2 linked regions of the Tribolium castaneum genome follow. The main gene of each other region encodes a partner of the protein of the gene in region 2 in a complex. Links are inferred from orthologs where the notes say so. Each region holds a gene or a part of one and is shown on either strand. Other genes may lie near its edges.

Region 1 (4,273 bases), on a different chromosome or scaffold from region 2:
TAACAAAGAAAATCACAATTAACTTACTTCTTGTTAGCTTCGAGCATTTTTTTTGGATTTGATCGTTCGCAAATAACAATTGAAGGAAAGTTTGTTTGCCAATTTAAGTAAGATGTGTCCACTGAAAAGGATATTTTTTGGTTTTGATACTGGTCTAGTGCGTTAAACATTAGCATAATCGATGCGGCCTGTGAATCTATTTTATTGTGGTAAAAATTTGACGATTTGTGGGATTTACCCAAGAAGTTAGGACACATATTGTCCAAAAAAATCTTTCAGTCCAGTGGAATCTCTTATCAGCTATGAAATGCAAGCCATGTAGAGACGTGTTTAAGAAATATTTTGTAACAATACTCATTGTAGTGTAGTTGGGAATTTGTAATCAATACTATTTATGAGTTGGGTCATAATGCAGTAAAACTTTAATAAATTATTAATAGATGTGTTGAATTGTCGCTGTACAAAAACCTAATAAAAAGTTAACAGTTTTCAAACTATCAATTATATCATCGTAATATTTATTATGTATCTGTGGGAAACCAGAATGATACGTGAGCATTTAAGTAACCGCAAGCTACTTAAACATGAGAAGAATTAAAAAATAAGGAGTGCCAGTTGTAATAAAGAGCATGTGTGATTTCTATTAATTTAATAAAATACAGTCATTTCTTGATAATGTTTTTATTGAGTCCACGTTCTATTTTTATGGATAAAGTTTGTAATAGCAATATCAAATTCAATAATCATAAATCATAATAATTTCGCCATTTTTCGTCCATTTTTAATTTAATAATTAGGTAGGCAAAACCAAATGCTCAGTTGTTTTATTGGTCATCTACTCAATAAACTTATTACGTTTTTTAGTTTTATTTATTTCGACAAAAACATTCGTAAATTTACGTTCTTTTAAAACGAACATCATTTTATGTTTTTGACTTATTACCGATAAAATTTCACTGAAAAATCGGCTGTTTTTGAAAAATGTGTTTTTTTTATTTTGATATGCCTCTTTTTTGCAGTCATGTGTTGAATGTTGAATAAAAACCGAAAAATCAATAAACTTTATGCTATAATTTTATAATAAAAATAATGTTTAAATGTAAAATTTACAAAAAAGTGAAAAATCAAATCATAAAGTGACGCAGCCTTAGCCACTTCTACAATCAAACATATGCTTATCTCTCTTTAACTTAAAAGATTGCGATACGTGTCTCACTCCGATAAGATGGTAACCACAATGATAACACCGTGCCAACCAACGAAAAAAAGCTTAGGGATTAAATTAGACAATAAGGTTGTGCAATAATCTATTTCCTAAACCACTTTTTAATTTTGAGGCCATAAAAAAGATCAGTGCGCTAAAAACTGAAAAAGATAGCACGAGTGTTTAAGTTTCCCGCTCCGTCAATTATGCTTCGGAAAGAGAAATGACGATAAAAAAACAAATGATTAATCAGGAAAATATGGCGCTTGCCAGGAGAAAAATGTAGAAATTTTAAAGTAACCATAGTCGAGTTGTCATCAATTGAAGTGTTAAAAGTGTTTCATCAGTAAACGTGAATAAACCCGTGCTTCAATTCGTTCGCGACGAAATCTCCAAGATGAGTGTCGACGCATACGGCCCCAGTTCGCAAACTCTCACGTTTTTAGAGACCGAAGAAAACGACTTGATCGGGGCTGACACCCAAGGATCCGAATGCGAATTCACCGATTTCACAATTCCATCGCAAACGCAAGCCTCGCAGCACGACCACGCGGGCCCCAAAGTTTCCGGTGTACAGGTTAGTGCAAGGTCGCCCCCTGGTTCAGTGTCGTATGACGTTGTTGTTTTAGCTCAACAACAACATCAACAACAAAATCGCCAATGCGACGAGTGCTTTAGGGGAACTGCAATTCGAGGAAGAGGATGAGGAGTATTTCAACAGCAAGGAGCTCCCGAACTACGCGTGCAAGTACTGCGGCATTCATGAGCCGAATTGCGTTGTCATGTGCAACTGCTGCAAAAAGTGGTTTTGTAACGGGAGAGGAAACACCTCAGGAAGCCACATAATCAACCATTTGGTGAGGAATTTCAACTTGGAAACTGTTTTTTGATTGGGGTTTAGGTCCGAGCCAAACACAAGGAAGTGACCTTACACAAGGACGGCCCTTTGGGCGAGACAATCCTTGAATGTTACAGTTGTGGCGTCCGCAATGTTTTTGTTTTGGGGTTCATTCCTGCCAAAGCTGACTCTGTTGTGGTGCTACTTTGCCGCCAACCTTGTGCCGCCCAAAACTCACTTAAAGTAAGTCATTGCTTTTAAAATAGGACAGTTTTCAAGCTTTTAATAGGACATGAACTGGGATCAAGACCAATGGAAACCACTCATTACCGACCGGTGTTTTCTCACATGGCTTGTAAAAATACCATCAGAACAGGAACAACTGCGAGCGCGCCAAATCTCAGCCCAACAAATCAACAAACTTGAAGAACTTTGGAAAGATAATGTTGATGCCACGTTCCAGGATTTGGAACGGCCAGGAGTTGACGAAGAACCGCAACAAGTTAGTCTTGTTTGCACAGTTCTAACGTATTTATTATAATTTTTTTTGGTAGGTTTTATTGCGATATGAGGACGGTTATCAGTACCAAAACATTTTTGGTCCTCTTGTTAAGCTTGAAGCTGATTATGATAAAAGATTGAAGGAGTCTCAGACTCAGGAAAATATTGAAGTTAGGTGGGATGTGGGTTTGAATAAGAAAACAATTGCGTATTTTACTCTTGCTAAAACTGACGGGGATATGAAATTAATGCACGGAGATGAGTTGAGACTTAGATACGTGGGAGAAATGCATAAATCATGGGCGGGGGTGGGACACGTTATCAAAGTTCCTGATAATTACGGAGAGGATATTGGCATTGAGTTGAAGAACGGAAATGGGGCTCCCACCGATTGTAACAGCAACTTTGTGGTGGATTTCATTTGGAAAAGTACCAGTTTTGACAGGTAAATTTCGTTGTTGTGATAGAAACAGAAATAATCACGTTAATCTCTTTATGTATCACATTTTTTATTTATTTTTTTAATTAATGTTTTACTGTTAGTAGTCAAACGTTGAAAGTACCATTGTTATAAACTTTCACATTAAATATAAGTATAATATTACAATCAAACTTTATTTTAAAAATCACAGTAATTAAAAAAAAAGCATGAGAGAAGTGACGCATTTTCACTTCTTATTTCCGAATGTTAAAAAAATCTTTGTAAGATGTTAATTTTAAGCGTTGATATTTCAAGCTATATTAATGTGGTAATTTTTTTATAAGGTTTCTAAGAATATTTAATTAAAAAAATAATTATGTGAAAACAAGTTTTCACGTCGTTTTTTTCTGAGCTCGCCTTTATTGTTAATTGCAGGATGCAACTCGCCTTGCGAAAATTCGCCGTTGACGATACATCCGTTTCCGCCTACATCTACCACCGCCTCCTCGGCCACGAGGTCGAAGAGGTCCTTTTCCGTTGTCACCTCCCTAAACATTTTTCGGCACCTAATCTTCCCGACTTGAACCGTTCGCAAGTCTACGCCGTCAAACATGCCCTCCAGCGTCCACTCTCCCTCATCCAAGGTCCTCCCGGAACGGGAAAAACCGTAACTTCCGCCACCATCGTCTATCAATTGGTGAAACAAAACGGCGGTCCAGTCCTAGTCTGTGCTCCCAGTAATACGGCAGTTGACCAACTTACCGAAAAAATTCACAAAACTAATCTAAAAGTTGTAAGATTGTGTGCGAAATCACGCGAAGCGATTGATTCGCCTGTGAGTTTTCTTGCATTGCATAATCAGATACGTAAAATGGAAGCCAATACTGAACTCCAGAAGTTGCAACAGTTGAAAGATGAGACTGGAGAGTTGAGTTCAGTTGATGAGAAACGATACAGAATGTTGAAAAAATTGGCTGAGAAAGAATTACTCGAAGCTGCCGATGTTATTTGTTGTACTTGTGTGGGGGCAGGTGATCCACGATTGGTTCGTTTGAAATTTCATTCGATTCTGATTGATGAAAGTATGCAAGCGACTGAACCCGAATGTATGGTACCGGTGGTACTAGGAGTGAAACAATTGATTTTGGTTGGTGATCATTGTCAGTTGGGTCCAGTTGTTATGTGTAAGAAAGCAGCAAGGGCTGGATTGTCCCAAAGTTTGTTTGAGAGGTTGGTGGTATTGGGAATTCGACCGTTTCGCTTGGAAGTACAATACAGGATGCATCCAGAATTGTCGCGTTTTCCCTCC
Region 2 (4,371 bases):
ATTAGAGCTCTAGGATGCAAAAAAAGGCAAACTCGGTAGAGGCCTCGGAAAAGCACATAGAACGTAGAGTCATGTGGCTAAAGTTTTTCAATTAATTAAATATGTAAAGATTGCGAATCAATAATTTTGGGTCACAAAAACTTACTACATTATAATTTATAAGTATTCGAGACGTAAAATGATGTCTTAAGACAATGAGATCGGCTACTGGCAAGTGATCCCTTTGTTGGCAAATTATACCATCTTCTAATAAATCACGCGTCTGGTTTGTGTTTAAATAAAAAATTGCCGATTGTTTAACCAATAAAGTAAAAATTTGTTATTGTGATACCACTTATTATAAAAACTTTATAAAACTGCTAAGACTTTATTAATTACAAAAAAAATTTGGGAATGGTTCTTTTATCAATTAGTCGAAGTGTGAAAATTTCAAGAATTTATTTCATTAGCATTTACGATTTTACTACATGAATAAATTTTCCAATCGTAAAATGACGTCTTCAACACAATGCGATTAGTGAAACTCGGTGAAAATGCTCTGCGATGAATATTTGAGCATTTCTGGGGCGCTGAGACATTAAAAACATAATATCACCGTGTTTTTCGGAAACCACTCGGAGCACCCCGGAATTGATGAAACTTATAACTTTATAAAAATAATCCGGGGATCCGTAGCCCAAAGGAATTATATATTTTTTTTTAATAAAGAAAATATTTAATTTCAAAAATATCAACGGTCGATATCTCGGCAGTTCTTCGCATAGGAATCATTAATTTGTTGGTTAAGCGTAAAAAATTGAAGTTTTTGAATGTATGAAAGTAGAATTCATTAAAGATTGTAAAAATCGTGGAGGAATTTTAATTTTCAAATATGCAGTTTCCGACATGTATTTTGAGGCCGACAGTTTCTTAGTAGGTCAACATAATTCGCTTACATAACACTGGAACCGTTAGTTTTCAAGTCATATTTTTTTATAAAATCGACTCTGATTCCAGATTTTCACTGTTTGATAAAGAATTAAAAGTAGAGACTGACGGTTTTTAATTTTTTCTAGTCGGACTTTTATAGTTTTTGAAAAAAACGCGTTAAAAGTTTTAGAAAACTAAATTTTTGACTTTTTTAAGTACCGATTCCAACGAATCGATCAACGTAAACCTTATAAAAAACTAGAATGAATTGATGCAGGTTTCTACTCGTGATCAATATCTCAAAGTTATTTAACTTTCGGATGACGATTACGACGAAATAAGAGAACGTCAAACAGTATCGTCATCAGCGTAATTTTTTTTTATGACAAATCTATTAATAATTAATAAATGATTCGCGCAAATCGATTGGTCCAAGAAAACCTGGAAAATCCTTAGTAGTTTTTCAGAAACTATGCCTCGTAAAATGCCGTTTTTTCATTGGATAGAAAATTATAAGCGGTTTCTAAACGGTCCCTAATATGAGGGGTTGCAACCATTATTTTCTGAACGGAACGGATATATTCAAATTTTTTTTTTAATCTCTAGGACTCTTTCTTACTGAAGATAAAAAAGCGGTAACATTCAAGACAGTTTTTTCTAGACGACAATGTCTCAAAACAAAAATTTCTGAGATAAATTATCAAATTTACCCACCGTCATCTTCCAGTTCTTCAGTTGGTATTTCCGAATCCAGCACCTCCTCAGTGACCGACTCCTCGGGCGGAGGCGCCTGTTTATTTATATAAGAAGTCGGCAAAAAAGCTTGCAATTCCGGCAACTCGCAGTAAAACCTCTGCGTTTCAATATCGCACCAAACATTCTCGATATTAGCCAACGCAGCTTCGTCCAAATCGGGCCCCGCACCTGTCACTATCATACTCTAAAAATTCTCAGTTAATTCTTTATCCCACCCAATTAATTAAAGCCACCTCATCATTTTTCATGAGAGTCTGATTTTTCAAAGTTGGCATATCTTCGTCTAAAATTTCCGCAAAACTTTGTGTCGAAGCTAATAATTTATCGTACGATGTTTGAAGCGCCTCGAGCTTGTCTTTTCGTTCTTGACTCAACTCGCCTTTGGTTTGGAGTATCCTCATGTTCTGCTTCTCGAAGTTTTGGATCTCTTGGTGGTCTTTGACGAGATGCTTACTGAGCGAAACGTAGTAATCCCTCAGCAAGGTGCGCACGTTTTGCTGCTTCTCGGGCGGCAGGAAAGTGCTCTTCGGGATGGGGATGTCGAATTTTTCGGACAATTCCCGCATCTTGCGAGGGACCAGACCTATATTTCGAAAAAATTAACATTTTTATCGACTTGACTGGCGTTTAATATGCGGTCCGCCTGGGGATACGAGTAGTTGATTGGGCGAAAAATACCAAAATTACCTGCGTAATCTTCGCCGCAGTGCTTGCAAAAGCTGAGGATTATTGAGCAATTGTAGTGTTCGTCCTTGTCCATGTTGACCAAAGTGGTGATCACGGTCCCCAGCAAAGTGAACGCGTTTTTATTGCTAAACACCCCAGCCTGCACCAACTCGGCATAAAACCTTAAATCCACCCTCAGTTTACTCGGATTTGGAATCTTCTCACCCACTTTAAAGGCCAGGGTTTTCTGCCAGTTCTCAAACAAGTGTTGCGAGAAATCAGCGTAAGTCTGGTGCAAAACACTGCACATCTTTACGGCTGCGCCCACATCGGTCATTTTCAATTTAGCATCGACTATCGCAGCCGCAATCTCCGATATGTACTTGGACAGGTTCAGCCCCGTCATGTCTTTCAAGTATGTGTCCACTTGGTTGGCAGAGAAGTTTTTGATTTTCTTAACAAACGCCGTGTTCTTCTTGAGGCTGGAGTCCAGCTTGCTGAAGTGGGACTCGCTGGGGCGCGTATTTGCCGCATTTTGGTTGGCACTTCGCAGCTCTTGCTTGCAAACAAACCTCTCTTCCACCTCTTGGATGTAAGAGGTTAGGACGTTTTTGTCGTCTTCGCTGGGGGCCTCGGCACTGTTCTCGTCTTTCTCACCGTCGTGTTCCGAGGATTCGGTCACGGTCATGTCGCAAAACGGGCTTTATTTGCAAAAAACTTGTTAAAATGATTATTATTAGAAAACAATTTAGGGAAAAAGCGAAAATTCCCAACCGTCAATAGATATAAGTGTTGCCAATGCAAGTTACACAATCAACTTTCGTGTTATCTTATCGTTAATTCCAAGCGAACGGAAAGTGTTTACATCATCAAAATTAAAGACAATAATTCGGATTTAACCCGGACAAATGTACAGGAGGTAAAGTGAGTTGTTTTCGGATTTCGCGTCCGAAATCGTATCCCACTAGTGCGTTTTCCTCCGCAAAGTTGGTGACGAAAACCACGTGTGTTTCGCTTTCGCTGTCAAATGTTACTAATTTTTGGTTCAAGTTACAATTTTTTTCTCGTACTGTTACTTTTAAAATGTAGATTTACAACTAACCATGGTATTGTTCAACTTATTACAATTTGAGCAATCTACGTGTATTGTTCCAGAATGACTTGGACCTTGAAGAAATCGAATCACGTCTTTATAGTCAAGTTTACCACTCGGTTGATACCGAAAGCGATTTAGTCCTTCCGTCTGCACCAGTCGCGCCTTTGGCCCCCGAAAACATGAAAAATCAGGCCCGTTACTTCGGCCCTTGGACCCCTGGCAGCAAATTCCAAAAAAGTGTGCATGCAAAACAAAACACAAGACCACCAACTTTCAAGGATAATGACCAGTCCCATCCAGGGTTTTACTCAAAAAGTTGCAACAGGCGCCACAGGCCTGATAATATATCAATCAACCAACTAGTTGTTTTGACTCCTCAAAGTCCGATAGTTTGTGTAACTCCTAAGAAAAATCGTAATAAGGCGCGCTGGAAAAACTACAAAAGGAAGCAGAAGAAATTGGAGAAACTGGCCAATTCTCAGAAGGAACCTCCGAAACAAACACCAGGTGTCGTACCGGGAAACCAAGAACCAAGTAATTGTGACAAGGTCATTACATTGTCCGATAGTGAGAACGAGGAGGATAGCTGTGTGTTAATTCCTGAAAATTGGCCGGTTTTGTCTGTTTGTGATTCAGACGATGATAATAAGAAAGATATTAGTGAAAACAAGTCGTCAAATGACGATGTTGTATTTGTTGAGCCAGTGGAGACACCTGTTGAGGTAATAAACCTTGACGAAGAAACCGAGTCTCCGAAAAACTCACAACAAAAAAATAACGAAACTGCGTCAGTTGCATCGGATAACTCGAGCGTTTCCGATTCACCAACAAAAAAGGCCCACCGCGAGCGTAAAGAATTGTTAAGTACGCCCGATTCAGCCTCGAATGATTTCGTCAACAGTTCTGGAGTTGAATTAAATCACAAAAATTTCAACTTCAGTTTG

What was found.
Region 1: the proteins of Upf2 (region 2) and regulator of nonsense transcripts 1 are in contact, whole or in part, in a crystal structure (PDB 2WJV), measured with the Homo sapiens proteins. The link is inferred for Tribolium castaneum from reciprocal best matches to the Homo sapiens genes UPF2 and UPF1. Residues at the interface, in NP_056357.1 of Homo sapiens: Val1105, Cys1107, Glu1109, Asp1110, Phe1113, Ile1114, Ala1116, Leu1117, Met1120, Met1121, Asn1124, Leu1125, Arg1128, Met1169, Pro1170, Phe1171, Val1172, Met1173, Leu1174, Thr1175, Gln1181, Lys1184, Leu1186, Asn1187, Val1188, Pro1189, Ser1192, Gln1193, Leu1194, Asn1197; in NP_001284478.1 of Homo sapiens: Asn150, Thr151, Ser152, Gly153, Val157, Asn158, Leu160, Val161, Arg162, Lys164, Lys166, Pro175, Leu176, Gly177, Thr179, Tyr184, Cys188, Asn190, Val191, Phe192, Leu193, Phe196, Pro198, Asp202, Ser203, Val204, Val205, Val206, Leu207, Cys209.

Annotation. Positions count from the first base shown.
Region 1 is NC_087397.1:527,808-532,080, forward strand, and holds the start of regulator of nonsense transcripts 1, read left to right. Parts: upstream 1-1,268; 5' UTR 1,269-1,601; coding exon 1,602-1,781; intron 1,782-1,833; coding exon 1,834-2,061; intron 2,062-2,105; coding exon 2,106-2,285; intron 2,286-2,331; coding exon 2,332-2,544; intron 2,545-2,596; coding exon 2,597-2,988; intron 2,989-3,399; coding exon 3,400-4,273. Other genes in the region: sodium channel protein Nach, read right to left, coding at 28-188, 239-358. UniProt on the Homo sapiens protein: RNA-dependent helicase required for nonsense-mediated decay (NMD) of aberrant mRNAs containing premature stop codons and modulates the expression level of normal mRNAs.
Region 2 is NC_087394.1:28,282,483-28,286,853, reverse strand, and holds the start of Upf2 (regulator of nonsense transcripts 2), read right to left. Parts: upstream 3,110-4,371; 5' UTR 3,020-3,109; coding exon 2,353-3,019; intron 2,249-2,352; coding exon 1,899-2,248; intron 1,850-1,898; coding exon 1,624-1,849; intron 1-1,623. Other genes in the region: uncharacterized protein Zcchc7, read left to right, coding at 3,607-4,371. UniProt on the Homo sapiens protein: Involved in nonsense-mediated decay (NMD) of mRNAs containing premature stop codons by associating with the nuclear exon junction complex (EJC).